2 linked regions of the Saccharomyces cerevisiae S288C genome follow. The protein of the gene in region 1 purifies or fractionates together with the protein of each later gene. This does not show direct contact. Each region holds a gene or a part of one and is shown on either strand. Other genes may lie near its edges.

Region 1 (14,728 bases):
ATACTTTGCTGTAGCGCAAAAAAAATATACATTTATTTATGATCACGAAGGTACAGAATTACATCGTTTGAAACAACATATTGAGGCAAGACATTTAGATTTTCTACCATATCATTACCTGCTCGTAACTGCCGGTGAGACAGGTTGGTTGAAGTACCACGATGTTTCCACTGGCCAGTTGGTCTCGGAATTGAGGACCAAAGCTGGGCCAACTATGGCAATGGCACAAAACCCATGGAATGCTGTGATGCATCTAGGTCATTCAAACGGTACAGTATCCCTCTGGTCACCATCCATGCCTGAACCATTAGTAAAATTACTTTCTGCCAGAGGACCAGTGAACAGCATTGCTATCGATAGAAGCGGGTATTACATGGCAACCACAGGGGCTGATAGGTCGATGAAAATTTGGGATATCAGAAACTTCAAGCAACTACATTCTGTGGAAAGCTTACCGACGCCAGGAACAAACGTTTCCATTTCAGATACTGGTCTATTGGCATTATCTAGGGGCCCTCACGTTACGTTGTGGAAGGACGCTTTAAAATTAAGTGGAGACAGTAAACCGTGCTTCGGGTCCATGGGAGGGAACCCACATAGAAACACCCCTTACATGTCACATTTGTTTGCCGGAAACAAAGTAGAAAATTTGGGATTCGTACCATTTGAAGATTTACTAGGTGTAGGCCATCAAACGGGTATTACGAATTTGATTGTACCTGGTGCAGGTGAAGCCAATTACGATGCCTTAGAATTAAACCCATTCGAAACCAAAAAACAAAGACAGGAACAGGAAGTCAGAACCCTATTGAACAAACTGCCAGCAGATACAATTACTTTAGATCCGAATTCCATCGGTTCAGTGGATAAAAGGTCTTCTACCATAAGGTTAAACGCTAAGGATTTGGCGCAAACTACAATGGATGCTAATAATAAAGCCAAAACCAACAGCGACATTCCAGATGTAAAACCTGATGTGAAAGGTAAGAATTCGGGTTTGCGTTCCTTTTTGCGTAAAAAGACTCAAAACGTTATTGATGAAAGAAAATTAAGAGTACAGAAACAACTGGATAAGGAGAAAAATATTCGTAAAAGAAACCACCAAATCAAACAAGGCCTAATTTCAGAAGACCACAAGGATGTCATCGAAGAGGCATTGAGCAGATTCGGCTAAATCGAAATATCTTTAAAAAAAAAACTTAAATGATTATGTATGTATATATAAAATAGATAATCATTATTATTGCCTCAAGCATTCTTCTATCCATTTTTTTTTTGGTTCTTTTTAATATTTTATAGGAAACTTTTAATCATGTTCAAAAAGTTGACAGTATGAGAATCGATTGCATATTAATATAGCAATCTAATTGAGATCTTAGCAGAGGTTTGATTTAGTTGTTCATAAATATCTTTAATATCGCTTTGGTCAACAGAAGAGATATCAGCCATTAAATAAGCAATTTCACCATTTGAATCGGAAAATTGCTTTTCGATGTTATGGTTCGATAAAATATCATTGACGGTCTTCAAAACACCTGGTACATTTTGGTGAATGTATAACACACGCACAGTGTTCTCTTGGTCGTAAGACAATGATTTCAATGCCACTTCTGGGAAGTTGACTGAACCGACAGAGTTACCTTCATTGATGTATTTGGACAATGCGGTAGCCACTTCAATACCGATTGAGCTTTGGGCTTCTTCGGTAGAGCCACCAATGTGTGGTGTCAAGATGATATTTGGTAATGAAACTAATTCAGAAGTCCAGCTATTTAGCTCATCGTTAAATGAACCTTCACCGTTCTTAGCTGGTTCATGTGGATAAACATCCAAAGCAGCACCTGCAATTTTGTTGGCTTTCACGGCTTGGATCAAAGATGGAATGTCCACGACAGTACCTCTTGAAGCATTAATAACATAAGCGCCATCCTTCATAGCAGCAAATTGTGGGGCAGATAACATTTTTTCAGTTTCAGGAGTAGCTGGTACATGTAGTGTCACAAAATCAGATTTATTCAACAATTCATCTAATGTAGAAACTTGTCTGGCAGTACCCAAGGCCATGATAGTTACAATATCGTAGTACAACACATGCAAACCCATAGCTTCTGCAAGAACTGATAATTGGGAACCAATGTGACCGTACCCAATAATACCAAGAGTTTTTCCTCTTACCTCCCAACATCTAGCAGCAACCTTATTCCATGTACCGGTATGTAATTCGATAGATCTATCACCTAGTTGTCTTGCTAAACTAATGATTTCAGCGATGACCAATTCTGCTACTGATCTTGAGTTGGAGAAAGGCGAGTTGAAAACAGCAATACCTCTGCTGGTAGCGTAGTCTAAGTCAACTTGGTTGGTACCGATACAGAAACAACCAATACAAACCAGATTCTTCGCATGTTGTAAGACATTTGAAGTTAATCTAGTCTTTGATCTGATACCAATAGCATGAACGTCCTTGATCTTTTCGATCAACTCTTCCTCGGGCAATGAAGATTTATAGAATTCGACTTGGTAACCTTGCTCTTCGAAGATTGTAATAGCAGTTTGATTAACGTTTTCTAATAGTAAAATCTTCATATCACCCGTTGAGAAAGGCTTCAAAATTTTTGGGTGCTTTACAGCATTCAAGCGCTGTGGAACGGTATTCATGAAAGATTGCGTAGGTGAAGTACAAACAGCGCCTGGGGAGCCGCTCATATTCATAGCTTGTTGAAAGGTATTTTGTAAGTTGTTAATGTCAATGCTTGTCATTGCTGTCGATTTTTCTGTGGTTCTTTATAGAGTTCTGTATTTTTACTAAGATAGTTGACAAGTATCAAAAAGTGAAATAACTAGAAATGGTTCTTCCTTTATATACATAACAGTTTTAAGAATTTCCTTATCCTCTGCTCCCTCCTTCCAACAAAGTAATTACTCATAACTTGGATATTTGTCTGATTTTTTCATCCCGCTCAGAAAACCCTGCACGGGCAGCGTTGCATTTTCTTAATTTTTTTCTCGTGGTAGAAGTCAAGGACAATAAATTGCGAAATTAGGTGGGAACGAGAAGAATAATTAAAGTGCTGAGACCGAAGTTGTTCCCCTTGAATTCCATTTGTGAGTAAATATCGAAAATGGGTCCACAAAAAAAATTAGGTTTTTCTAAAATATTAGGTCCAGCCTAACTGCTTAACCAAATTTTTAATTTGTGATATTTGCACATAGCTTGGCCAAACAAAGGCATTACTCGATTGTGAGTAAAAAACTAAAACAATGTAGATAATCAGGATTAAACAATGGCATTTCTATGGATTTGTTGTTCTCTTTATATATTTGAGGAAAATTCAAAGATAATGGGGAGAAAGGTGGAGATGTATCTCCACCTATCGTAAATTTGAAAGTTCCGCTTTTCCGCCAATTGCACCCAAACATCACGCAACGCTTTTTAAAACGTTATCAATATATCCAATCCAGCATTGTTAAGTTGATTAGTAAATGGAAGAGATTCCATTGTGTACAAAAAAGGGTTTTAACTTGATTATTTTGTTATAACGTTCTATACAGTTGAATGAGGTAAAGAAAACAAAAAAATATTTCATTTTTAGTATAGATTATTTGGTAGCTTCAGGTTGCTTCACGGTGTAGTCTCCGTTCTCTTGCTTAACAATACTGCCGGAATTTAATAGTTGATCAAACATATCTTGAGGAATCCACCCTTGAGTGGCAGCAAATGGTGTAGAGATTAGCTTTTCGTGTAATTTTTGCAAATCCTCAACATGTCTTTCAATATCTTCTTTACTATAGTTTAGAGGAAACTTTTTCTGATTCACTAACTCATTCTGGGCAAAGATGTCCCAAACTTCCTTCAATTGCAATAGTGATTCATCAATAAGTAAATACTCTTCTTCCGTTTTTCTTTCGACAGCTGCAATATATGGGCTTCTCAGTAGCTTAACAGGTGGGGCAACTGCAGTAATTAATTTAGGATTATTGTCATTTAATTTTTTCTCCCATTGATGTTGATTACGGGTGCGCTTGTACATGAACTGATATTGCACCTTTTCCGCCTCAGATAATTTGTCAAAATCGGTTATGTCCTCCTTTAAGTCATAAATCTTGGGCCCATCATAGGCGATGAATTGTGGCGAATTCTGTAAAATGAAAGGTTTTGTGCATGCTCCTTCAAAATCTAATAGATAGGCTTCTTGTGCTTCTTTGTTAACAATAATATTCATGGGGTCTAGATCAGGATGAAACAAACGTGGTGACAATAGTTCCTGCATATTTGGAATGGCCTTTGTTTTGACGTTGAATAAATCCGGGGCAATCTTAGCTAAATTTTCATAGGTAGTTATTTGCTCCTTCAAAGTTCGAGGATACATCAATTCAGCTGAACTTCCTGCCTCTTTCATGGCTATTCTAGTTTTAGCATTTTCAGCTTCCAATAGGCCAGTATTTTTAATTATATCCATTGGAGACTTCTTTGGCCATGGTCCCAAAAAAGGTTTCATTTGTTTATGAAAATCCAAGTGAGATTTATGTCTCCAGAGACATCTTTCCACGGATGGCCCAATTTTCCATCTGTTTTGTAGATCCGGATTAGTTTCCCCATCGTATATGTCTTCCTTAACAAACTCCTTCTCATTTCCGTCTTTTAAGTCATTGTTAAAATATATGGATCCAAATGCATTTAATTTCAATGACACTAACTTCGACTGAAAATCAGAAACTTGTTTAATAACATTGTCATATTTTTTTTGATTGGAGGAACCGTCTTCAATCAATGGATCCCAATCTTTCATCAAGAGTTCTCCTTCGATAAATTCTTGTAAGACAAAAGGCTGCCTTACAGGGTTCAAAGAATTGACACCATAACAAAAAATCTTGGGAACTTTGATGCCCAACTTCAAGTCAGCAAAATCCATGGTTGCTACTTCACTTCTTATTCTGTAGGATAGAGTGTTTTCATTTTCCAGCGGATAAGGAATCCTCAAGATAAATGCCTTGTTCAAATTCGTGTCGACCTTGTATATTCTGTGATGTTTACCTTCGTGAATACTAGATAATGTGGTTACTTGAACTTTTTCATTTGGGTTGATTTTACCTATATTCTTTGGTACAACGTTATTGACCAATGAAACGGTCAAGTTCTTGTTAAACACTGGTGGTAAGATCTTACCGTCGGGGGCCTTAGCCATTTCATTAGATTGAATGTAGATGTCATTGAGAATGCGATTTAAACCTTCAATCGAAAACTTCGTGAATCTTTTTTCCTTTTCTTGCTTATCATTTTTAAGCCATGAGCCCCACGTATATTTGAAAAAGGCATCTCTCTTTGGATCATTGTCATTCGTTAGCTTGGTAAAAACTTCGTTTGGCTTATTGGAGATAAATCTCTTGGTGGCGGCGACGGTGATACATTTAATTGCACCCACTCTTTTCGAAGCTCCTACTACACACCTTCTGGAATGGCCAGCAACAGTGTACCTAATCATGCTTGGTCTTCGTATTGCTGTCTTGCTTGCTAAACAGCTTTTGCTACTTCTTCTTCGCTGATGAGAAAAGGGAGTCTACTAAATACAGTTCGGCTTAAAGTGTCGCTGGTCAGCAATCGGCCCGAAAATACATTGAACATTTGAAATTACCATGTTTCAAAACGAATATTTATTATAATTATTACTAGTAAAAGTTATACATAAGAAGGGAATAATACAAAGAAACGGGAAACAGCTAAATGTAGTATATAGCCGAAAGATGTGGACATATCCCAACAAATCGTCTTATGAGATCCTTTTTTTGTTTTATATTTTTTTTTTTTAGCGGGTATAAACGTATCATTTATATATTTTATTCTTTCCTTTAACTCTCAAAATTTGAGCAATTAGGTTACTGTGGTTCACGTGATTCAAGTGTGCACATTGCTGCTATGCTTTGTAGTATTATCCATAGAGTTTAGGGAGGGGGAATGGTCGGAGAGTGGGTAATTTGCATTGTCTAATGGAGCAGAATCAGCGTTACTTTTCTGGAAATAAAACTGGTCCGATAACGAAGTAGTAGAATCAGAGGTGAGATTGGAGTTGGAAGTGGTGTTGAGTTTGTAAAACTTTTCGGTTTGATCATGCGATACCTTGTATTTGTCATCCTTGTCATTCTTCTTTTTTTTGTTCTTCTTTTTGTTCTTAGGGTCTACCATATTGCTAGTCTTCGGGGTAGGAGACTTTGTTCCATTATTGTGATCATATTGTTTTCGAACCATGGAATTCAATAAATTAAGTGAATATTTCGGAATCCCATCTCTTTTGACATTAATCCCCTGAATACCATCCTTCGTGGCAATCATGGAGGCACCTGATGTGATGGAGCAACCTGAGTTCGTTCTCGTTATCCTATCTTCACCAGAGGCAATATTGGAAGGGCTCATTGATCTCTGATCTAAGTCCAGGTTAGTAGACCTGTTATTAGTGTAAATGGACTGATCATAGAGAGAGATGGCAGATGCAACATCTTTTGAGCTTATTGAATGTGATGAATCAGGCATTATTAACTATTCGCTTCCTTTTCTTATCTCAGCAGTTTGTGTTTTTTATTCTTATTGTTATTATCCCTTTTAACTATATATGCATAAGCTAAGTTAAATATTAAAATATTTATATATAAACGTTACAGGGCGTGTGAACACATTTGAAAAAATGCTGGAAGGTAATGGTAGATATAAGAATTGGAATAACAGGTTGATAGAGAATCGCCAAGCTAGAGAGTTCTGACAAGCGGCAAGGGGGAAGGATGAGACGCAGATACGAAAGCCGCACCATTAAACCGTAAAGAGAGAAAAATAAAGAATGACTTATTTCTCGGAAAGGCCAAATGCAATTATGCAACACGCACACATTCACACTCACACTCACACATAAACTTTGACTGAAACCAAAACTGTTGTGAGTAATAGCCTTTCTTGTTCATAAAATAGTACAAGATACAGTAAATATATATCAACTCACCTGGTATAGGGATCACTTACTGCACTGCAAAAGTGGATCGTTTGCGCAAGAAACTCCACCAATTCTAAAGAATATAATAGAAAAAGCTAATAGGAAAAGTGGTCATTTTCTGTTGATATGTTACATAGGATAAACCCAGTACGGTTTTCTATGCAATCTTGCCAAAGATACTTCTCGAAGTTGGTATCGCCATTGGAACAGCATAAAAGTAATACTTTTACTAATAGAGTCAGAATCCCCATTGAGGCAGGCCAACCACTGCATGAGACAAGGCCGTTCCTTATAAAGTCGGGCGAGTTGACACCAGGCATTTCAGCCTTGGAATACTATGAAAGAAGAATTAGGTTGGCGGAAACATTGCCTCCCAAAAGTTGTGTGATTTTAGCTGGTAACGATATCCAATTTGCATCTGGAGCAGTATTTTATCCGTTCCAACAGGAAAATGACCTGTTTTATCTTAGTGGTTGGAATGAACCTAATTCGGTCATGATTTTAGAAAAGCCAACGGATAGTTTAAGTGATACAATTTTCCACATGCTGGTTCCGCCAAAGGATGCGTTTGCTGAAAAGTGGGAAGGATTTAGGTCTGGGGTTTATGGTGTTCAAGAAATTTTCAATGCCGATGAATCTGCTTCCATTAACGATTTGTCTAAATATTTGCCCAAAATAATTAACAGGAATGATTTCATCTATTTTGATATGCTATCAACTTCTAATCCCAGTTCGTCCAATTTTAAACACATCAAGAGCCTGTTAGATGGCAGTGGGAATAGCAATCGATCATTGAATTCCATTGCGAATAAGACCATCAAACCCATCAGTAAAAGAATTGCAGAGTTCCGTAAGATCAAGTCCCCTCAAGAGTTGAGAATTATGAGGAGAGCTGGCCAAATATCAGGAAGATCGTTCAATCAAGCCTTTGCTAAAAGATTTAGGAATGAGAGAACTTTAGATTCCTTTCTTCATTACAAGTTTATATCCGGTGGTTGCGATAAGGACGCATATATCCCCGTGGTCGCTACTGGTTCGAATTCTTTGTGTATCCATTACACAAGAAACGATGATGTGATGTTTGACGACGAAATGGTTCTTGTAGACGCTGCTGGCTCCTTGGGTGGTTATTGTGCTGATATTTCGAGAACGTGGCCCAATAGTGGGAAATTCACTGATGCACAAAGAGATCTCTACGAAGCTGTATTAAATGTTCAGCGTGATTGCATTAAGTTATGTAAAGCTAGCAATAACTATTCCCTCCACGACATCCATGAAAAGAGTATCACACTCATGAAACAGGAATTGAAAAACTTGGGCATAGATAAAGTCTCCGGTTGGAATGTTGAAAAATTGTATCCGCACTATATTGGACACAATTTAGGTCTAGATGTTCACGATGTGCCTAAAGTTTCCAGGTACGAACCATTAAAGGTTGGACAAGTTATTACTATTGAACCGGGTTTATATATTCCTAACGAGGAATCATTTCCATCTTACTTTAGAAACGTCGGAATAAGAATTGAAGATGACATAGCCATTGGTGAAGATACTTACACTAATTTAACTGTTGAAGCAGTGAAAGAAATTGACGATTTAGAAAATGTCATGCAAAATGGCTTATCTACAAAATTCGAGGAGGACCAAGTGGCACCACTGTAATGTTATTGCTAAATTGAGTACACCCTGTATATACAGATACATAACTTATCGATTTAAGGTCTTTTAATATTAAACGGAAAATTCAAAAAAAAAAAAATTTACTGAAAATATCTTGAGATACTTTTCTTCAGCTTTCTTTTTGTTTTTTTCCTCTTCTTCTTGGGCACTGCTCTTTAGTTTTTATTTTTAGTTACGGCAAAATAAAGATGGGTCTAAAAATTACAAAAGGACAGCTGAGAACCAAGGATCTGAATCAATCATCCTCAAAGTCATCGCAGTCTTCAAGAATAGGTGTAGACACTTGTATATTTACTAGAATGCTACCCCGAATAAACACTGCAATTAATCTCACAGAGCATCTGCTGAGAAGATCTTTTCATTCACTGACAAATCTACAGAAAACTCAAGTAAAAGAAAGACTACATGAGCTAGAACGTCACGGTTTCATATTAAATAAAACATCCAAACAATTGGAAAGGATAAATTCTAAGAAAAGAAGACAATTGAAAAAACTGCAAAAGACAGCATACCCCAAGGATCAAGCTTTTCATATTCTTCGAAAATTTCATAAAATAAATAATGAGGCATTAGCAGATACAAAACTGGGGCCAACTAGCCAAAGCGACTTGAAGTTCCTATCCTTAACCAAAGATAAGAGACTCTTTTATACCATACTAGGCGTCAATGGAGAACAGTTACGTGATTCCAAATTAATCGCCAATGATGTTCAAAAATTTTTGAAAAGAGGACAACTGGAAAAAGCTGTCTTTTTGGCTAGGCTAGCTAAAAAGAAAGGCGTCGTTGGGATGAATTTGATTATGAAATATTATATCGAAGTTGTGCAGTCCCAACAAAGTGCTGTAGATATCTTCAATTGGCGAAAAAAATGGGGAGTCCCTATTGATCAACATTCCATCACAATCCTCTTTAATGGGCTCTCAAAACAAGAAAATTTGGTCTCAAAAAAATACGGAGAACTTGTTTTGAAGACTATAGATAGTTTGTGTGACAAAAATGAGCTCACGGAAATAGAATATAATACCGCTTTGGCGGCACTGATAAATTGTACCGATGAAACACTAGTGTTCAAACTTCTTAATAAAAAGTGCCCAGGTTTGAAAAAGGATAGTATTACATATACCTTAATGATAAGATCTTGTACCAGGATTGCCGATGAGAAACGTTTTATGGTGGTACTCAATGATTTGATGAATAAAATACCAGACTATTGTGTCGATTCTAAATTGTTATTTGAGTACTGTGAAGTAATATGTAGCCAGAAGTCACCAAAGATTGAGAAGCAAGGAATGGGACTATGGGCCCTCTGTGAATATTTTCAATTTGATAAGACCATTTTCAAGAAGTATTTGACACAAAGCGATTTTCCTACGTTAGTTCCACTAAGTCATTGGAACATCAATAAGCCATTTCCTCTCAACAAACATGTTGTGGGATTGTTTATGAATTACTGTTTGAAAAACAAGGAATATGATCTTGCTATGGAAATATTTAAGACATTAGAGGCACAGAACAACCAAATGTTAGATCAGAGCATATACCACAAATACATGGAAACTGTCATAACAACGAGGCCCATCACTTGCGGCGACGAGTGTCTGGACATTTATGAACGGGTAGCCTCGTCGGCACAAATCTCAATAACCAGGAGGACGTTAATTTTGGTGTACAACGCATTCCAAAGACAAAGTCTCAAGGCCGTTATAAACAAAGATGCATCAAATGCTGAAGCTACTTTGCACAAGATTCGGGGGTTTATAGATAGCGTAGAGGCCACATACTCATCAAAGTTGAACGGCAAAGTTTACAGGTTTAATTCATGGAAGTTCCTGTTTCCTATCGTTAAAAATCTGAACATGAATGATAAAGTGTCTACAGTGGAACTGAAAAGTATACTAGATGAATACTTGAAATCTTTATTGAATGGTGAGTTCGGGAAGGAATTTAAAGCGAGCATAGAAGACAAGCGGTTTGTTACGTTGGAGGGAATTCGTTTAGTCAAGGTTTTAACCGAGAGAATCAAGCTTCCGTCACTGGACAGTGAGGAAATAGCCAGTTTAAAAGGCACGGAAAGAAAGAAGTTTCTTGCCAGAAGGCACCTTTTGAGGCTGAAGCAAATATTACTGGAAGATTTAGCGGACATTGAAGGCAACTCAAGAAGGAAGGGTGATAGCGAAAATACAAGTACCAGTGAAGAGCGCATCATGGAGGACTTGGCCGAGCTGATACTTGAAACCAGCTATGACAAGTTTTAAGTAAAAATTGATTATTTACTCCTTTCAATATGTACATAGTTTTGAGGTTTTTTCAAATTTTTTTCCTATTTTTTTTGTTAATTGAAAGTTACTGATGATAAATTATTCAAAGGTGGTGTTAATTAAGAATGAAAGTACATCTTCCTATACTATGAAGGAGAGGTTCATATAACACGCGCAATTGGCACGTCTTAAGTATCATCAGTACAATATAGTGGTATGTCAGGTAAATATAACATGTTCAGTGTAACAACTCATATTTTCCACGTATATATTGGATCTGTAACTCAATTGCGTCATTGTCTACATATTGCTTTTAACAGTTTCATTATTCTGTTACTGTTGCAATTATATATAAGCGTATAAGAGATGTGCCTAAGTATACGATGAGAACGCACATAATGTTATTATATCAACTCGCCTGTATATTTTTGTACTACTTGTTCCAACACGAAAATAAACCAAAGTAAGAAGGGTTAGCACCTTTTTTTGCAAGAGAAATCGCTCTTCAACTATTTTAAGTCAATCCTATGAAAAAGGGTTTGCGCCAGATTTCCAGGGACAAAAAAGAAAGTTTTATGTAAGACTAGATTGTGTTGATATCTCGAGCAAACTGTTAACCATTTTAAACCAATATAGTAATAAGTGTGAATAATCGTTCATCTCTAAACAATATGTAAATAATTCTAAAGAACAAAATATTTTGTCATTATCATCAACCTGTGAGCACTGAAAAAAAATTAATTCTAAAATGGTGCTCCATTTGCAAATATTCTTTCTATTTCCCTGACTCCCGCTAATCGGTTTTATTAGTGAAGAATACAGCCGTGGATTGAAAAACAAACTGGTTCAAGTCATTAACTGAAGTAATGCGACCACATCTTATACAAGAGGCAATGCTTTCTAACAGTTTTACATTATTCAAAATCTTCACATAGCCGTAACTTAACTTATATAATAACCGCATATTGGGCTCTTCTGAAAGAACTATTATAAGAAAGATACAAAAGCAAGCAATCAATCCAAGGGAGAAAAATGACCTCAGGATACTATACCGTCTCATTTTTTTATGCGATCTTATTGTTATGCGCATGCACACGTGCTGAGATCTACCTGACGGGCGGTGAAAGCCAGGGCTTGCCATCAGGATTCTGGCAAATGGACGATGATTTGGCAATCGCTCCAGTTTCTATGGTTGAATTTTACCAGACGATAGGATTAACTGCAAATGGTACTGTACCTGAGTCCTTCAACAAGCGTGATGCTACTGAATACCCTAACATTATCAGTAATATAACTACCCAAGCAGCCAACTTCACTCAGCATAGTCTCGTCGAGCAACTTCAAAATGACGTCACGGCAATAAGTATCAGTAATGCCATTAATGTAGCCGTCGATGGTTCTGTGGAAACACCAGCAGACCTGCAATACAACCGCAACCAGGAAACAGGTGAATCTACCCTCTGTAGAGCCAAGTTTTACGGAGTGGAGGTAAGAACTTGGTCTAGGTTGTACAATAGGGCCGTCTCTTCCACAACTCTTACGACTAATTTGAACAGCTACATAGCGCAATGGGTAGCATGGGCCGTTCACGGGAGCGGTGACAAGAAGTTTTGCGGCAGCCAGGAGTTCACGAATATCTTTTTTGATGGGCAAGAGGGTTGGAGTTTGTTTGTCAAGACGTGGTCAACAAACAGTAGCTGTGATATTACAGCCTCTGAAGGAAATTTAACATGTGCAGTTCGTGTTTCAGTATCCAGTATGCACAATCACGGCAAGACAGCGTTTTGTGTTACCTATAGCCACGGTGATTCTTGGCGTGCCGAGCTGAGAGTAGTTGCCAATGATGCTTGGTCCCATTATTATCCCTGGAGTATTGACTGTCCAGAAGTTGATAAAAATAATATGGCTATTAATGATTGTTTTGATCAGGCGCAAGGTTAACGATTGAGTTTCCCATAATTTTTACCGCTCTCCTCTTGGTTGAGACGTATGCGAAAAGCTAATTCGACGTTTTTTATTGTAAAATCGTACACTTTTGCAGGCAATTCTACATATTATATAAGATTTAAGTCGGATCTTGAGACTTTTGGTGAACTTTGAGATGATTGTTGGGATTCCGTTGTTGATAAAGGCAATAATATTATGTATACAGAATATACTAGAAGTTCTCCTCGAGGATATTAGAATCCTTACAATGGACTTGATATTTCTACATAAAAATATTACGATTATTCCTCATTCTGTTTTTTATGTTTCACCATCCAACAGATCTAAACTCATTTCTTCAGGTATTTATAACTTTGATTGGTTCATCTTAGGCATACTCAATCTTACCTTTTTCATGCGTGTAGGAACGAAACTCTAAAATCATCTACGGGTTAAAATTGCTTATACGGAGGTACCCCGTGTTGAGATCCAACACATACAGAAATTCTGGGCACATGGCGCAGTTGGTAGCGCGCTTCCCTTGCAAGGAAGAGGTCATCGGTTCGATTCCGGTTGCGTCCAATGAAATCTTTTTGTACCAAGTTTTTCTCTGTTTTTGTTAGACCGCAAGCGAGTTTACCGAATCACAGCCCACCTCACCCCACAGGAAAACAGCAGCAGAACGGCTGCTAAATGACTATTAACAATAAGAGGTTTTCGGCTACTTTCGCTGCTTGCTCGTTAAATCCGTTCACTGGTAGCGAACCTCAACGACAGATGTCTATGTATGCTATACGTAAAATCACCCCCATTATGGCCATTTTATGTGTCGCCACTGCTACACACCCACCGATGTGTATGTACTTCTAATATCTAACCAGACCAGACCCCACGCTTTTTCTGGCATCTCCTGCTGCCATCTTGGTGTAGTGAGCGGAAACTTTAAACATTAAACAGAATGGCGGCGACTTTGAGATTTGGGCCCGCTGACGCTGAACGAAAAGAAAAGACCTTCATGAAAAAAATATTTTGCGGCAAAACGTCATCGGAGAACACAGCGCAGCGAGAATGTGGTGTTAGCCAGACCCAACAGTTTGCGCACCTGGCATGGATGGATGCAGATAGGTAGTGTTCGATGCGCAAGAGTCCAATCTTCTCCTCGCCATTTGCACCGGCGGATGTAACACTATATTTTCATTGACCTTAGCGGTTTTCTTTCTTTGACATGTAACATCATCACTTCAAGCACAAACAAAGAACTGTATACACAGACCACAAACTTGCATATTATTCTAACATCGGTGTTATAATAGCGTAGGTGCTCTTATCACTGCAAAGTTCATAGAAAATCCGTATTGTATCTCCCTTCTCCATCAGCAACACAGATCTACTTATCATATAGAACATGAAGGACAGTGTAGACTGCCCAAGCATTCTACCCACCGACCGCACTTCAGTGCTTTCCGAGACTAGCACTTTGGTCGGATCGAGTTCGCATGTATATTCGAGGCATGCTCCTATGAACAGTTATCATAACAGCATGAACAGCAACATATACCACAGCCCCAAAGCCAGTAGCCCTTTGGTGAGCTATAAGACATCTTCGCCGGTGTTATTGAAGAGGGCGACCGCTCCTGTCCTGCCAAGCTTCAAGCCCAAGGAACAGCGATATAATAAGCCGCAGGGTTGTTCGCTAATTACTGCTGTAGAACTGGGCAAGATTATTGAAACCTTACCAGATGAAAAGGTGCTCTTACTTGATGTTAGGCCGTTTACCGAACATGCCAAATCCATTATCACAAACTCCATTCATGTATGTTTGCCTTCCACGCTGCTGAGGAGGAAAAATTTCACCTTTTCCAAACTCTTGGACAACTTAACTCCTAG
Region 2 (17,288 bases), on another chromosome or scaffold:
TTTCGTTTTTATTTTTCCGCTTTCTTCGAGAAAAAGAGATGCGCGGCGTGCCTGCGCGGCGGTTACGAAAACCAATAATTTTGAATAAAAGAAGCACTGTAGAGAACAGACACGGTAGGATATATACTCATATGGATGTTCTTATATAATATCGCGCTCAACCGATCATTTATATATTATGTGTCACTATATCATCCTACAACATCCGCTCTGTTAATTAATTGCCCTATTCTTTCACATCATAACCCTACTCTTGCATCATCTCTAAACGACATTTCATGTACTTGCCCTGGACGCTATCTTAAAACATTTTACCACCTCATGTAACCCGCATGTCATGTCTATGGTATAAAATCATGGCTTTGCATATGCCTTACACGTATATTCATACTATCTTCGTCTTGCTAAAGAATAATAAAGTAATTGCGTACTGTGCCTTTGTATTTCCCTCTTTGGACTGTGTTTGTTGTTCCAACTTGGTACTTCTCGCAAGCAAAAGTCAAAATAAGAAAAAAATTAGCATTCATATTTAGTTTCTAAAATTACATAAATCATATTAGGTCTATTTACTGTTTTAATAAAGTGTCGTTGTAGTGCTTGGTATTCCAGTCCCAGAAAAAGGTCAATTCAGTAGAGTTACTGACGCTGCTGACGTTACAGACCTTTAGGAAGTCAGTACCGGCTACTCTCTTTTCAGCATAGCCGTAGAAGTCATTTATTTCACAAGAGAACCCTGGACCAGTAGAACAGGTTTCAATTGGAACGACAGCATCGTTGATGACGTATCTAACATAGGTGTCATTGGAACACTGGAACTTTTCAGTGTAAACACGAGCACCTTGTGGAACGTACCAGGATCTGTGGAAAGTGTTTTCCATGAATGGAACATGTTCGGCGGTCAAGTTATTTTGGTCATCGATTATGCCGATAGTGGTCAAATAGTTCAGAATATCGGTATCGTGGGTGAAACTCAACCAAACCTTTTGGTCCTGGACCTCACTTTCCTTTAGTAGTTTCACTGAAGCGTTGAACAAGTTGGCACCGACGGATCTGACGACGTCATAGCCTGGTCCCGTTTGATAATAAGTTTCCAAGTCTTGGCCGTAGGAGAAACGGACCAATTCATCTTTGGTGAAGATGTTACAGATGTCACTGTAACCTCTAGCGTTTATTTCATATGCACACCATGCAAAAAAAGTGTTTGCATCACTTGAAGTCAGATTCAAACCCTTGTTTTCCTTGTTTAATCTCTTGGCAATACCACTCAAATATTTGGTATCATATTTTTTCAAAATGTCATCGTTGACATCATCGTCCCAAGCAGGACACGAATGGTGGGCACTCAGAGTATTGGCACCAGCAGACTCGGCTTCACTGATGGTTTGCAAGGATATGTTGAATTTATCACCCAAACCGTCAATGAAATACTGGGCAGTATCATGACATCTGTTCGAGTTAGACGTAAAAACGGCAAAACTGGTTTGGTTTTCGACCATGTAGCCATATTGCGCCAAGAAATCACGAGCGTGTCTCTTAGCATTCATCTCACCGGTATATGGGTTCAAAACATTGACCGAATTGGCAAGTGTGGTTTCCATTTCTAGGTTTTTGGTGTCACGAATGAAAAATTCGTAGTCATCGTTCAAGAAAGACAATGCTCCGCTGAATTGACCGGTATAGTTACTCAATTTGTACCACGTTGTCATGATACTTTTGGCTTTGCTGACAGTGGGGTATCTTTCACCGTGTCTACCAACCATTTGCACTTGCTTCATTTCACAACTTTCCGGCAAATCACGAGAAATACCATAATCACCAGGGAAAGAGTAGTATGGCCCAGAACCACCCAAAAATGGGAAAATTTCCGTTTGAGTTCCGATTTTGTCAATGTCAGATAACTTTCCGAGGGGTATGGTACCTGCATTAACCAAAGAAGCGGCTAAAATTGAATAAACGGCTGACTTCAACATTGGTATTTCTGATGATGTTCTTGCTCTCTTTGCTGTTGTTGTTCCTCTTCTTCTTCTTCTTCTTCCTACTTTACAACCAAGGCGAAACTGAGCTTGAATCTATCGAAATGTAAGAGCTTATATACGTTTTACTTGGCAATTCGACGCTGTTTATGCTCATTCCAAAACGGGTATAACATATCTGGTGAGATGACCAATTTGGCAATGTGACGTGCGGAATATGGAATCTCTCCGGTAAACAGGGTCTGAAATTCTGTGTAATTTGCCTTTTTAAACCCACGTGTGAACGCCAAGATTGTGCGGCTTCGTTTAGGGATGTGTTCTGTTTTCTATTAACTTTTTACTCTTTCCTTCCTATTTCCTTTTTTTTTTTTTTTTTTTAGTACACATGAACTACAGAATGTTATGCGAAAACGTGGTAATTTAATAAATACGTGACACAGCGTATAAGAAAAAGCTTATCAAGGTTATCTCTGTCATTAAAACTTTATTAGACACCCACGATGAATGAAACGATGAAAGTAGATATAAGAAGTAGTCGGAAGTGAGAAAGAGAAAATGATAAAAGAACGAAAAAATCCCTTTATTTTCTCATCTTGATGTATAAAATAACTACTATATATTTGTGGCTGAAATCATACCTTTCATTTTTCATCGGCTTAGATAATCTTGATTTTCTCACCTTAATACGCTTTTTTCAATGTCGTTTACAAAACAAGCTAGGTTTGCAAGATATCCTGGACTTTTTTTGTAATCTATGTGGCCACAGTATGGTTCGCACTTGCAACATGGTAGAGGCTGCCCAAAAACAAAACCGCATCACCTTTGGCAGCATTTACGTGAAACTCCATCCTCTTGTCAAACTTTGCACAGGAATCGTGTGGGCCCCACGAGTGTGAACCAGTAATTACATGTGCGGCTCTATTGGCATTGTTCATATCTGTAAAAGCAACTCCTGCTCCCAGTACCGTTTCTTTCCGTATTGGAAACGGTCACAGCACCGGTCTTGTAGACAATACCCGAGTTTAGCTAAATGTCACTTGGGCACTTTCTAATGACATTTCCAGCCAAAAGAAGTAATTTTGCTCATTTAAAAAAATAGTTTGCCATATCACAAAACAGTCGGTCGGATAATATCTCCTTCCAACAGTAGGAGAATGGAGGACCACACCCTTGTGGCCATCGTTGTTTTCTTTGGGAATGGTGAACCTTTCCATGTGTCGTTGTCTGTAGAAATGGTGTTCGTGCTGCTTCTTTCATCCACTAGAATTCATGAGGTAGTAGTTCTTATATGTTATAAACTTCAACACGCCACCTGGTCTTGGGGTAATATGAGCAAGAATTTCTCTCTTAAACCGGATATAAGTCTGAGCTTTCTGTTGGATATAATTTCTATAAATGATATATGCATCTACGGTTGCATTGCCCTTACAGTTGTGTTTATTTTATAAATCTACGTTTAGTATAAGAAAATTGTATTGTCGAGTCTTAGCTGAGTTCATATTTATTCAAAAAATTGGCCTAAATGTTATGTCTCTTTCTCGATCCATGAATTATTAGCAACACCGAGAATTGCAGCAGTGATGCTTCACATTAATGCATGTTCCTCCCTGTTGCCTTTTGGTAAAGTCATGGGCATATGATTACTCCGGGCGTCGCGCGGCTGAAGGCGTCTAAAATAAAATGTTCAAAAATGATATTAACTTTCTTATATATCTTAGACCTGCTATTTCTTTCTTCTTTTTTTTTTATTTTGTATTCAATTGGTTTTCACTTTCTCGAAACGCAAGGCTTAAATAAATCAAGGACAGATTCGATAGCTTCTTTTGGGACAGTCAGCTCTTCAGAGGTAATTGCATGACTTCATGATTCGCGGAATACGAAATGAAAAGGGAGGTCCGTTTGAGGTAACTCAGTTCTTTACGAATCACATGCAATATTCAGGGTAAAAATCCAAGTTATCTAATTTTTTTTAAACTACCTTTTTCTTTTGTACATCACGTTTCACTATATATTCTACTACATCTATTTTCGGCCCAAAACTACAGCATTTGCAGAAACAAAACGACGCTTTCTGTTCCTGCTGATAGTATTCATGACACATTCCATATTGCATGTTGCATTTAAAACGAAGGGCCAAGCCATGGTCATGTGATTTCCATGTGCGGCAACTTCAAGACTTCTTCTTTTGGGCATAGGAAGACATTAAAAATATTATTTATGCATTATTCTTATGTCGGCTAATAGATTCAAAGAAACCCACGAAAAATTTACCGACCGCGAGAAATAAAAGTAAATGAAAAAAAAAAAAAAAAAAAAAAAAAAAAAAAAAAAAAGAAGAATGTGTCTATCTTCATAATGGTGCCTTCGCTAAACCATCTTTTCTGACGCTTTATAGTTCGAACACAGCATTCTTCAACCGCGTAAAGTTAAAATCACTTGAATGTTTACACTGACGTTTTGTTGGAATAAAAATCCACTATCGTCTATCAACTAATAGTTATATTATCAATATATTATCATATACGGTGTTAAGATGATGACATAAGTTATGAGAAGCTGTCATCGAGGTTAGAGGAAGCTGAAGTGCAAGGATTGATAATGTAATAGGATAATGAAACATATAAAACGGAATGAGGAATAATCGTAATATTAGTATGTAGAAATATAGATTCCATTTTGAGGATTCCTATATCCTCGAGGAGAACTTCTAGTATATTCTGTATATCTAATATTATAGCCTTTATCAACAATGGAATCCCAACAATTATCTAATTACCCACATATATCTCATGGTAGCGCCTGTGCTTCGGTTACTTCTAAGGAAGTCCACACAAATCAAGATCCGTTAGACGTTTCAGCTTCCAAAATTCAAGAATATGATAAGGCTTCCACTAAGGCTAACTCTCAACAGACAACAACACCTGCTTCATCAGCTGTTCCAGAGAACCTCCATCATGCCTCTCCTCAACCTGCTTCAGTACCACCTCCACAGAATGGGCCGTACCCACAGCAGTGCATGATGACCCAAAACCAAGCCAATCCATCTGGTTGGTCATTTTACGGACACCCATCTATGATTCCGTATACACCTTATCAAATGTCGCCTATGTACTTTCCACCTGGGCCACAATCACAGTTTCCGCAGTATCCATCATCAGTTGGAACGCCTCTGAGCACTCCATCACCTGAGTCAGGTAATACATTTACTGATTCATCCTCAGCGGACTCTGATATGACATCCACTAAAAAATATGTCAGACCACCACCAATGTTAACCTCACCTAATGACTTTCCAAATTGGGTTAAAACATACATCAAATTTTTACAAAACTCGAATCTCGGTGGTATTATTCCGACAGTAAACGGAAAACCCGTACCACCAATGTTAACCTCACCTAATGACTTTCCAAATTGGGTTAAAACATACATCAAATTTTTACAAAACTCGAATCTCGGTGGTATTATTCCGACAGTAAACGGAAAACCCGTACGTCAGATCACTGATGATGAACTCACCTTCTTGTATAACACTTTTCAAATATTTGCTCCCTCTCAATTCCTACCTACCTGGGTCAAAGACATCCTATCCGTTGATTATACGGATATCATGAAAATTCTTTCCAAAAGTATTGAAAAAATGCAATCTGATACCCAAGAGGCAAACGACATTGTGACCCTGGCAAATTTGCAATATAATGGCAGTACACCTGCAGATGCATTTGAAACAAAAGTCACAAACATTATCGACAGACTGAACAATAATGGCATTCATATCAATAACAAGGTCGCATGCCAATTAATTATGAGAGGTCTATCTGGCGAATATAAATTTTTACGCTACACACGTCATCGACATCTAAATATGACAGTCGCTGAACTGTTCTTAGATATCCATGCTATTTATGAAGAACAACAGGGATCGAGAAACAGCAAACCTAATTACAGGAGAAATCCGAGTGATGAGAAGAATGATTCTCGCAGCTATACGAATACAACCAAACCCAAAGTTATAGCTCGGAATCCTCAAAAAACAAATAATTCGAAATCGAAAACAGCCAGGGCTCACAATGTATCCACATCTAATAACTCTCCCAGCACGGACAACGATTCCATCAGTAAATCAACTACTGAACCGATTCAATTGAACAATAAGCACGACCTTCATCTTAGGCCAGAAACTTACTGAATCTACAGTAAATCATACTAATCATTCTGATGATGAACTCCCTGGACACCTCCTTCTCGATTCAGGAGCATCACGAACCCTTATAAGATCTGCTCATCACATACACTCAGCATCATCTAATCCTGACATAAACGTAGTTGATGCTCAAAAAAGAAATATACCAATTAACGCTATTGGTGACCTACAATTTCACTTCCAGGACAACACCAAAACATCAATAAAGGTATTGCACACTCCTAACATAGCCTATGACTTACTCAGTTTGAATGAATTGGCTGCAGTAGATATCACAGCATGCTTTACCAAAAACGTCTTAGAACGGTCTGACGGCACTGTACTTGCACCTATCGTAAAATATGGAGACTTTTACTGGGTATCTAAAAAGTACTTGCTTCCATCAAATATCTCCGTACCCACCATCAATAATGTCCATACAAGTGAAAGTACACGCAAATATCCTTATCCTTTCATTCATCGAATGCTTGCGCATGCCAATGCACAGACAATTCGATACTCACTTAAAAATAACACCATCACGTATTTTAACGAATCAGATGTCGACTGGTCTAGTGCTATTGACTATCAATGTCCTGATTGTTTAATCGGCAAAAGCACCAAACACAGACATATCAAAGGTTCACGACTAAAATACCAAAATTCATACGAACCCTTTCAATACCTACATACTGACATATTTGGTCCAGTTCACAACCTACCAAAAAGTGCACCATCCTATTTCATCTCATTTACTGATGAGACAACAAAATTCCGTTGGGTTTATCCATTACACGACCGTCGCGAGGACTCTATCCTCGATGTTTTTACTACGATACTAGCTTTTATTAAAAACCAGTTTCAGGCCAGTGTCTTGGTTATACAAATGGACCGTGGTTCTGAGTATACTAACAGAACTCTCCATAAATTCCTTGAAAAAAATGGTATAACTCCATGCTATACAACCACAGCGGATTCCCGAGCACATGGAGTCGCTGAACGGCTCAACCGTACCTTATTAGATGACTGCCGTACTCAACTGCAATGTAGTGGTTTACCGAACCATTTATGGTTCTCTGCAATCGAATTTTCTACTATTGTGAGAAATTCACTAGCTTCACCTAAAAGCAAAAAATCTGCAAGACAACATGCTGGCTTGGCAGGACTTGATATCAGTACTTTGTTACCTTTCGGTCAACCTGTTATCGTCAATGATCACAACCCTAACTCCAAAATACATCCTCGTGGCATCCCAGGCTACGCTCTACATCCGTCTCGAAACTCTTATGGATATATCATCTATCTTCCGTCCTTAAAGAAGACAGTAGATACAACTAACTATGTTATTCTTCAGGGCAAGGAATCCAGATTAGATCAATTCAATTACGACGCACTCACTTTCGATGAAGACTTAAACCGTTTAACTGCTTCATATCATTCGTTCATTGCGTCAAATGAGATCCAACAATCCAATGATCTTAACATAGAATCTGACCATGACTTCCAATCTGACATTGAACTACATCCTGAGCAACTGAGAAATGTCCTTTCAAAAGCTGTGAGTCCAACCGATTCCACACCTCCGTCAACTCATACTGAAGATTCGAAACGTGTTTCCAAAACCAATATTCGCGCACCCAGAGAAGTTGACCCCAACATATCTGAATCTAATATTCTTCCATCTAAGAAGAGATCTAGCACCCCCCAAATTTCCGATATCGAGAGTACCGGTTCGGGTGGTATGCATAGATTAGATGTTCCTTTACTTGCTCCCATGTCCCAATCTAACACACATGAGTCGTCGCACGCCAGTAAATCTAAAGATTTCAGACACTCAGACTCGTACAGTGACAATGAGACTAATCATACAAACGTACCAATATCCAGTACGGGTGGTACCAATAATAAAACTGTTCCGCAGACAAGCGAACAGGAGACTGAGAAAAGGATCATACACCGTTCACCTTCGATCGATACTTCCTCATCAGAAAGTAATTCACTACACCACGTCGTTCCTATCAAAACGTCAGATACCTGTCCTAAGGAGAATACAGAGGAATCTATTATCGCTGATCTTCCACTCCCCGATCTGCCTCCAGAACCTCCTACCGAATTATCAGACTCCTTTAAAGAACTCCCACCGATAAATTCTCATCAAACTAATTCCAGTTTGGGTGGTATTGGTGACTCTAATGCCTATACTACTATCAACAGTAAGAAAAGATCATTAGAAGATAATGAAACTGAAATTAAGGTATCACGAGACACATGGAATACTAAGAATATGCGTAGTTTAGAACCTCCGAGATCGAAGAAACGAATTCACCTGATTGCAGCTGTAAAAGCAGTAAAATCAATCAAACCAATACGAACAACCTTACGATACGATGAGGCAATCACCTATAATAAAGATATTAAAGAAAAAGAAAAATATATCCAGGCATACCACAAAGAAGTCAATCAACTGTTGATGATGAAAACTTGGGACACTGACAGATATTATGACAGAAAAGAAATAGACCCCAAAAGAGTAATAAATTCAATGTTTATCTTTAACAGGAAACGTGACGGTACTCATAAAGCTAGATTTGTTGCAAGAGGTGATATTCAACATCCTGACACTTACGACCCAGGCATGCAATCCAATACCGTACATCACTATGCATTAATGACATCCCTGTCACTTGCATTAGACAATAACTACTATATTACACAATTAGACATATCTTCGGCATATTTGTATGCAGACATCAAAGAAGAACTATACATAAGACCTCCACCACATTTAGGAATGAATGATAAGTTGATACGTTTGAAGAAATCACTTTATGGATTGAAACAAAGTGGAGCGAACTGGTACGAAACTATCAAATCATACCTGATAAAACAGTGTGGTATGGAAGAAGTTCGTGGATGGTCATGCGTATTTAAGAATAGTCAAGTAACAATTTGCTTATTCGTTGATGATATGATATTGTTCAGCAAAGACTTAAATGCAAATAAGAAAATCATAACAACACTCAAGAAACAATACGATACAAAGATAATAAATCTGGGTGAAAGTGATAACGAAATTCAGTACGACATACTTGGCTTAGAAATCAAATATCAAAGAGGTAAATACATGAAATTAGGTATGGAAAACTCATTAACTGAGAAAATACCCAAATTAAACGTACCTTTGAATCCAAAAGGAAGAAAACTTAGCGCTCCAGGTCAACCAGGTCTTTATATAGACCAGGATGAACTAGAAATAGATGAAGATGAATACAAAGAGAAGGTACATGAAATGCAAAAGTTGATTGGTCTAGCTTCATATGTTGGATATAAATTTAGATTTGACTTACTATACTACATCAACACACTTGCTCAACATATACTATTCCCCTCTAGGCAAGTTTTAGACATGACATATGAGTTAATACAATTCATGTGGGACACTAGAGATAAACAACTGATATGGCACAAAAACAAACCTACCGAGCCAGATAATAAACTAGTCGCAATAAGTGATGCTTCATATGGTAACCAACCATATTACAAGTCACAAATTGGCAACATATATTTACTTAATGGAAAGGTAATTGGAGGAAAGTCCACCAAGGCTTCATTAACATGTACTTCAACTACGGAAGCAGAAATACACGCGATAAGTGAATCTGTCCCATTATTAAATAACCTCAGTCACCTTGTGCAAGAACTTAACAAGAAACCAATTACTAAAGGATTACTAACCGACAGTAAATCTACAATCAGTATAATTATATCCAATAATGAAGAGAAATTTAGAAACAGATTTTTTGGTACTAAAGCAATGAGACTAAGAGATGAAGTATCAGGAAATCATCTGCACGTATGCTATATCGAAACCAAAAAGAATATTGCAGACGTAATGACCAAACCTCTTCCGATAAAAACATTCAAACTATTAACAAACAAATGGATTCATTAGATCTATTACATTATGGGTGGTATGTTGGAATAAAAATCCACTATCGTCTATCAACTAATAGTTATATTATCAATATATTATCATATACGGTGTTAAGATGATGACATAAGTTATGAGAAGCTGTCATCGAGGTTAGAGGAAGCTGAAGTGCAAGGATTGATAATGTAATAGGATAATGAAACATATAAAACGGAATGAGGAATAATCGTAATATTAGTATGTAGAAATATAGATTCCATTTTGAGGATTCCTATATCCTCGAGGAGAACTTCTAGTATATTCTGTATACCTAATATTATAGCCTTTATCAACAATGGAATCCCAACAATTATCTAATTACCCACATATATCTCACGTTTATATATTAAAATACTTTCTACTTAGTTATTTTTAGGAAAGTACGGTTACGCACTCATTTTAAAAAAAAGCAAGGATGAAAATACCTGCCAAAGTACTTAAAGCATTGGTTCTCAAACCAGCAGCCATACCTTCGGATTGAACGACAATACCAGTGAAGGTGCTGGAAGCAGCAGTATGAGAAGTTGGAGCAGCAGACTTGGTGACTGTGCTAGTGGCCAATGATGTTTGTTTGGAAGCCTCGGAAGTGACAGTCTTGGTGTTACAGCCGTTGTCGTCACAGTGAGTAACGGTAACAGTAGTGTATGATTTTGGAGAAATGGTGGTTGCTGCAGTTTCTTTAGAACATTCAGAAGTGACAGTCTTGGTGTTACAGCCATTGTTGTCACAGTGAGTAACAGTAACAGTGGTGTATGATTTGGAGGAAACGGTTGCAGTTGCGTCGGTAGCAGTTGGTGCTGGAACATGGCATCCGTTTTCGTCACAAGATGTGATGGTGGCAGTGGTAGATGAGCATGGGACAGTTGTGGTAATGGTGTAAATGTTACCGCTAGCGTCGGTTGTTTCTGAACAGGAAACCACGACTGTACTTGTGGCATTCAAGTAAGTTAATGTAGTAGTGTAGACAGAAGCGGAACCTGAGGTGAAGCTGGTGGCGGATGCAGCGGATGCAGTAGAAGTAGTGGAAGCGGTGGAAGCAGTAGAAGCGATTGAACCAGATGCTGTAGTGGAGTTTGAGACACCAGAGATGGAGGCGCTAGATGAAGGAATTATTGAGTCTGGGGCGCTAGAAGAGATCGTAGAAGAGACGGTGGTAGAAGCGTTAGAGGATAAAGTGACTGAACCAGTGGCAGTAGAGACAACACCAGAGGTAGTGGATGCGGATGTGGATGCGGCGCTTGTAGCGATGACACCGTCATAGTTTAGGTAATATGAGTAGGCGCCTGCGAAGATTCCTTCGGAGACACTGAAGCCAGAACTAGAGAATCCAGTACCAATTTCAAAAGAGAATTGTCTGTTACCTTGGGTTGCAGTTAAGACACCAGTAGTACCGTCGTAAGAAAGAGCAGTGATGTCAGCGGTAATGGCAATTTGGTTCTTACCGGTGTAGCCAACAACAGGAATAGGAGTGGCGTTGGTTTCGGTTGGGTCAACGGCAAGAACACCTTCACCCTTGAATACAACAGTTTGGCCAGTAAAGGTGTCAGGGTAGTGCAAGTATAGGTTACCAGAGACGATGTTGATTGTACCGTTTCCAGAAACTGGTTCAACGATAACATAGGTACTTCCATTGTCTAGGTTGATTTCACCGTTATTTACAGAGCCTTCATCGTCGTCTCTACGTTACAAACCGGAAACAGAACCACCGTTGAGAATAGCATTTGACAAAGAAAAGGTACCAGCGTTAGAGTATGGAGAAAAGGTGACTTCACCCTTCTTGGCCTTTGACAAACTCAAAGAAATGTCACCGCTGCTCTTGAACGAGCTAGGTGTGAATGAATAGATAGATGCGGAGACAGCGCCAGTTTCTTCAGCACTGAAGTTACCGGAAACTTCAAAAGTCTCACCAGAAACGTCGAAGGCGGTACCTTCGTAGCTTGCTTCAGACTTTTCGACAACCAAATCACCGTGAACTTTTAGATCAGATGAGAAGACGTATTTTTCACCGTCAAGTAAAGTCAACTTACCACCGGCAGCGACTTCCACGGCCTCGGTTGCAATTACTTTACCAGTAACTGTGAGATCACCGCTAATTGTTGTGGATGGCAAATAAACGGTACCGTCACTGGAAGAAAGTGAGTCGGAAGCGGTGGCACTTGCACTAGCTGACGAGACGGAAGTGATAGAACTCAAGTCTGCGGAGGAGGTGCTATTGGTGTAAGAGTCACCGAGAGCGCCGCGAGAGAGTAGGGCCAAAGCGACAGCAGCTTGGAATTTGTTAAAACGATTGAACATCTCTTTTTTTTTTGTAATGGGCGAGAGTTTACCAATAAAAAGAAAGAAATAGTAAAGCTTGCAAAGATGAAAACTTGGACTGCTATTATGAGAACAAGAGTGAATATGACGATCCAGTGACAATGAAGCATATTGAAGTACGATTTACCTGCTTTTTATATACTTCTTCTTGTTACTACTCACGGACTCCTAACCCATAGCTATAGAGCCCGAAGCTACAGAGACCGATGGTGTGCTAGATCAAAATTTTTGTGCATGCATTTCTACGAAGAACATTCTCAAGCCCTGTAAGGCTTGTACGCGCGCGTTTGCCAACAGGGAACGAGGTGCTAATTTGCAGACCAACACATAAGCAATTGGCCAAAACAACAACAACAACAATAACAATAGCAGCAGCAGCAGCAGAACGCGATTTAGCCTGGCCAGATTATTGTAGAAGAGGCACGCGAAAACAAGAGCGGGGAAGGGGCAAGATTGTTTGTTACGTGGGCAGACGCTCAGCTACTTTCTATACAATCCCTACTCTGTGAGGTGCTTATTCAAGCAATGTTCTATAACTTTGGCTCAGAACAGATCATACGCCAAAAACAGAAAAGAAAAAGATAGCTATGTCCTAATGGAAGAGACAAGAAATCTTTGCGGCTACCCTCGAGAGAGTTAGTGCACTGTTTCTCCGTAGCCGCGAAATGCTTCTTTTCTGTCCCTGAAGCGCACGGCTGCGTAATCTCACTGCGACGCGGACGGCAATTGTTTTCCGCGGAGACGTGGCTGACAAAAGTCCCTGTGAAAGAAGGCGCTCGCTCTCTTCCGTGGGTCCCTGCTATATAACTACAGCAAAAATCAATCAACATCCTATTCCTGACGAGAATTACTCCGTCTCGTTAAAGAATATCTTTCCAGCGTTTTCTAAGGAAACGCGCAATGTCGCTCGAACTACAAAGACTGAACCTTTGGGTTCCATTATAAATTCTTGAACTTGTTTCATACCCATATATAAGCGGTGCAAAAGACAAAAGGGAAAAACAAAAAAAAAATGAAGAAAAACGGACAAACGGATAACCGGCACCTTCTGTACCACTACATCGCCCGTTTTCGCCAGCATTTCATCAGCACAGATTAGATAGTGTATTCCTACCTCCAACTATCTTATGCTTGGTTTGAATATTTTGGCCCAGTTTCTCAGGTCTTGCTTCCAGGCGCACCCAAAATGTGGTCTTGGTGTGATTGTCGTCACCTTGCCATCCTCTCTCAAATAACGTGGTTCTTGGTAATCTTCTAGACACTTTCCATAGTTTCAAGTCACGTGCGAATTGGCATGTTGCAGAGATTTAGATGGCTATATTTCCTCAAGTTAGCGCATTTGGCTTACTTGATCAGGCGCTTACGAGCTACATTTACGCCTGTCTGTATAATTTTGTTTCTTGACGATGGGATTCTCATAAGAAAGTCCAGAGTTGTTCGCAAGGTTAGACACTTTTAGCAGCTAGTGCGTGGTACTTGTAGAATTGCGAACCGGGCATTACAAAACAAGCCCTTTTTTAGCGCTGTCAAGAGCAGAAACTGTAAGTATGCCAGAGTTAGTTGCCGCCCCAATGCTCTTTTCCTGGGCCAATTCGAGAAGTTGAACAGCTTTGGATATTACTGATAAAGAGATGTTTGCCTTGGGGGGCTACTACGGTAATAAGCGTCTTGTCGCTAATGACATGCCAGCAATCACTAAGATTGTTTCGCTCTCAGAAGAACCAGAGGTGGAACTACTGGTTTGAATGACGGATGATTTAGATGATTCAGAGAATGTAGAAGTGGAGGTCGTTGCAGAAGAAGAAATGACCGAGGAAGACATGACTGAGGAAGAAACTACAGAAGTTCCATTGCTGCGATAGAATGGAGTAATAATTGGATGCTAAGACGTGATAGAGCTGGTGATTTGTTCTGAAGAAGATGATGACAAACTGGATGAGGTGGCAGTGGTTGGAGCTTTGGCAACAATAACGGTTTCGTCAGTTGGTTGACCATTAGTACCGGTGACGGTGGTCATTTCAGTAGATGTAGAAGTAAAAGTACCAGTCCACAGTTCGGTAGTAGTTGTGACGATGCTAGTAGTATGTTTTGAAGGATCAGGGATAGTACAATTTGACTGACTTAAATCATCGTCAAAAGAGTAAACGTACCCTTCAAAGTCATCACTAACAGTAGTACCATCAGGCAATTCCACGCTAATTGGAAGCGTGCCCCAGGAAACGGCATTGGAGTAAACAACCTTCAGCGGATAATAGTAGCCTGCATACATGTAGACAGTCCCTCCGATGTTATCAGGCAAACTTCCTTGCCATGGCTTAATACCATTGATTGTAAAATCCGTCGATGTAATTGGAGGTTGTTCTTGTGCACAACATTCGAACGCAACGTTACCACCGACTGATAGAATTGCAGAGTCATCGACCTTAGCAAACCTGAACGTGTAAGAACTTGTTTGTGGTGGTAAAAAGTAACCTGTCATTTCTAGAGTAGCGTTTTTTGGGATAGTAAGAAACCAAGTAAATCAGTACTCCAATAGGTCTTTCTTGGCTATTTTGAACATTCACTATGACCTCTGCATCCCCAGTTTCCATAAGCATCTGATTGAGCACATTTAAAAGTTCCTGAAGAGATAACACAAGAAAGATCGTAGTCAATTGAGAAATCCGTCTGTCCGCCAACGGAACCTAATTCCAATTCGAGGCATATCCAGAAGTCATATATTGCGGGTAGGAATACGTTGTTGAATCCAGTAATGAGTATTTATAAAAGTTGACATTCATCCCATTTTTCCTCGGGCCCACTGGCAGGCATGCTTGTGTACTTCCTGAAACAACATTGGACGTGGCCAGGTAGGTGAAGAGTGCCAAAAATAAATAGTGATAAGGCATTTCTTGGTTCGTCAATCAGGTATGGGTATATTAAACAATAACTTTTAGCCATGCTGTTAATGATGAAAATTTTGATGCTGGTCTCTTCATATGTCATTGTTTTGGGAACTGTCTTTTTTCGATCAGATGTATGCGCTACGATTTGTTTAGCGTAGTGATGTTCCTGCGCTGTATTTAGGAAATTTTGGTATCGAAACGTCCCTACAACACTTTTTGTCGCTGATATCTGCACATGCGAGTAACGCCGATTCCATTACATTATTACCTTCCACTTCCCAGAAACGATTTATTACGACTCAACAAGTTCAAGAAAAAAATTAAAAAGGTTACAACCACATTTTGCGTTTAGGTGCAGCGAGGCTTACCTTGATGCAGTCCTAAAGAGTCCTGCAGCAGTTGTAACGAATCCTATTTGCTTTTATGCATTCCTAAACGGGCTGAAGTATAAGTCTTGAGGAACTCCGGGAGAAGATACGATAAGCTCTGAAGTGCCAAATTTTATTATCAAAAAAAATATTTGTACAAGCGGAAAAGGAGTATACTCTTCCTCTTTTGCTTCATCACAAGAGGATCATTTTGACGTTGTCTGTTGTACTACTTCTTTATCGGCGTGCGCAGGAAAAGAAAGAAAAAGGAAGGAAAAAGAGATGTCAAAAACCGATGTCAAAAAATCTCGTGAGGCCTCCGGAATTTTGACGCTGCAAGTCAATCTACGGGAAAGAAGAAATTTTTTAAACTTAATGCAAAATAAGCTTTTTTCTTGGAAAATAAGATTTTCGGCAATAAAAGGTAAATGCAGCCAAAAATCAAAATACTTCAGAAGAAGTCGTAGCGAGGACTGCTACGTGGAAGCGGATTTGAAGATCCTTTCCAGAACAAGAAGGAGCCGAAAGCTGCCAGGAACTGTTCCTGATTTTTTAGGAAAACAATTAATAGGTATCTCGTCTAGCGTAGTATCTCGAGTTTCCAGAAGTTGCAGATAATCAAAATCATTGTTTTATCGCTTTTTTTAAATTACAGCTTAGAAGAGTAGAGAGCAAGTTTACTGAAACGGTTCCTTGTTTACAATAATATTCCTAACAAACTTCACGAATTAGGATGCAGCATGATTTTTTATCTTGCTTCACTTCCTAAAGTATGAATTTTTATCCGTAGTCGCAACCAAAACAGCTACTGGAAATTTGCAGCTTGTTAAAAACCGGTAGTTTCCGAATACTCCTCGTCCTTGAGTTGTATACCGTTAAACTTCCTAGGGTATCATGTGTCTGGCCCAAAATTGACCCACAAAATCTGGTCCTATTGACGGTCTTCTTTTGATTTTCAGCATCCTACTCTAAGAAGGACAGAAAATTATGAAATATATGGGAGAAACGGCCTCCCAACTGCTAAGTGTTCCCGGCAGCACGAGTAAGCAAAATTCAGGCAACCTATTGCATTAAGAAGCCCTACATAATTCAGCGTGATATGATGGAGTTTTGTTAATTGCAAATTTTAGTACGATTTGGTTGTTAGTGTGTGTTTATGCAAGTAATTATTGAACCCTAAGTAGTTACTGTCTTCTTTTGCTGTAATTCGTGGATTCATGGCCCTCCAGCAACATGGATTGAAAGGTTCTTTAAAGTTTTTAATCCGTAAAGTTCTGAAATGTATTTTAATCATGTCAATAATTCAACTGGTGGGTAGCATTTATGACCAAAAGCGTACTTAAATTAGCAGCAAAAAAATTTTTAATAACGAAACTATAAGGAAAAAAAAATACGAGGTACTGATTATGAGAGTTCCAGTTTCTCATTTTTGAGACATGATCTGAACAAGGCTGAAAACAGCAATCTTTTTCAATAACTTTTGCAAAAATTTCAAACATTGTTGTTTGAATGCAGCTAATTTTTATAGAGTACAGAGCTCAATGCTTTACATGTGCTTTATTTCCGGTACTTTTCTTAAAATGTCTACATTTTCTC

The links.
Region 2: the proteins of SER3 (region 1) and PHO12 purify together in Saccharomyces cerevisiae (affinity purification with mass spectrometry, with the first as the bait; one large-scale study listed by BioGRID). This does not show direct contact.

What each region holds. Positions count from the first base shown.
Region 1 is NC_001137.3:310,718-325,445, reverse strand, and holds SER3 (phosphoglycerate dehydrogenase SER3), read right to left. Parts: upstream 2,761-14,728; coding exon 1,351-2,760; downstream 1-1,350. Other genes in the region: UTP7 (Utp7p), read left to right, coding at 1-1,174; AIM9 (Aim9p), read right to left, coding at 3,600-5,483; YER079W (uncharacterized protein), read right to left, coding at 5,894-6,526; YER078W-A (uncharacterized protein), read right to left, coding at 6,636-6,800; ICP55 (aminopeptidase), read left to right, coding at 7,104-8,639; MRX1 (Mrx1p), read left to right, coding at 8,846-10,912; YER076C (uncharacterized protein), read left to right, coding at 11,948-12,856; tyrosine protein phosphatase PTP3, read left to right, coding at 14,247-14,728. UniProt on the Saccharomyces cerevisiae protein: Catalyzes the reversible oxidation of 3-phospho-D-glycerate to 3-phosphonooxypyruvate, the first step of the phosphorylated L-serine biosynthesis pathway. Also catalyzes the reversible oxidation of 2-hydroxyglutarate to 2-oxoglutarate.
Region 2 is NC_001140.6:536,781-554,068, reverse strand, and holds PHO12 (acid phosphatase PHO12), read right to left. Parts: upstream 1,971-17,288; coding exon 567-1,970; downstream 1-566. Other genes in the region: YHR214C-E (uncharacterized protein), read left to right, coding at 2,570-2,869; YHR214C-D (uncharacterized protein), read left to right, coding at 3,128-3,421; YHR214C-C (gag protein), read left to right, coding at 4,723-6,159; YHR214W (uncharacterized protein), read right to left, coding at 11,807-12,418; YHR213W-B (uncharacterized protein), read right to left, coding at 12,970-13,269; YHR213W-A (uncharacterized protein), read right to left, coding at 13,287-13,520; YHR213W (uncharacterized protein), read right to left, coding at 14,322-14,918; YHR212W-A (uncharacterized protein), read right to left, coding at 15,124-15,327.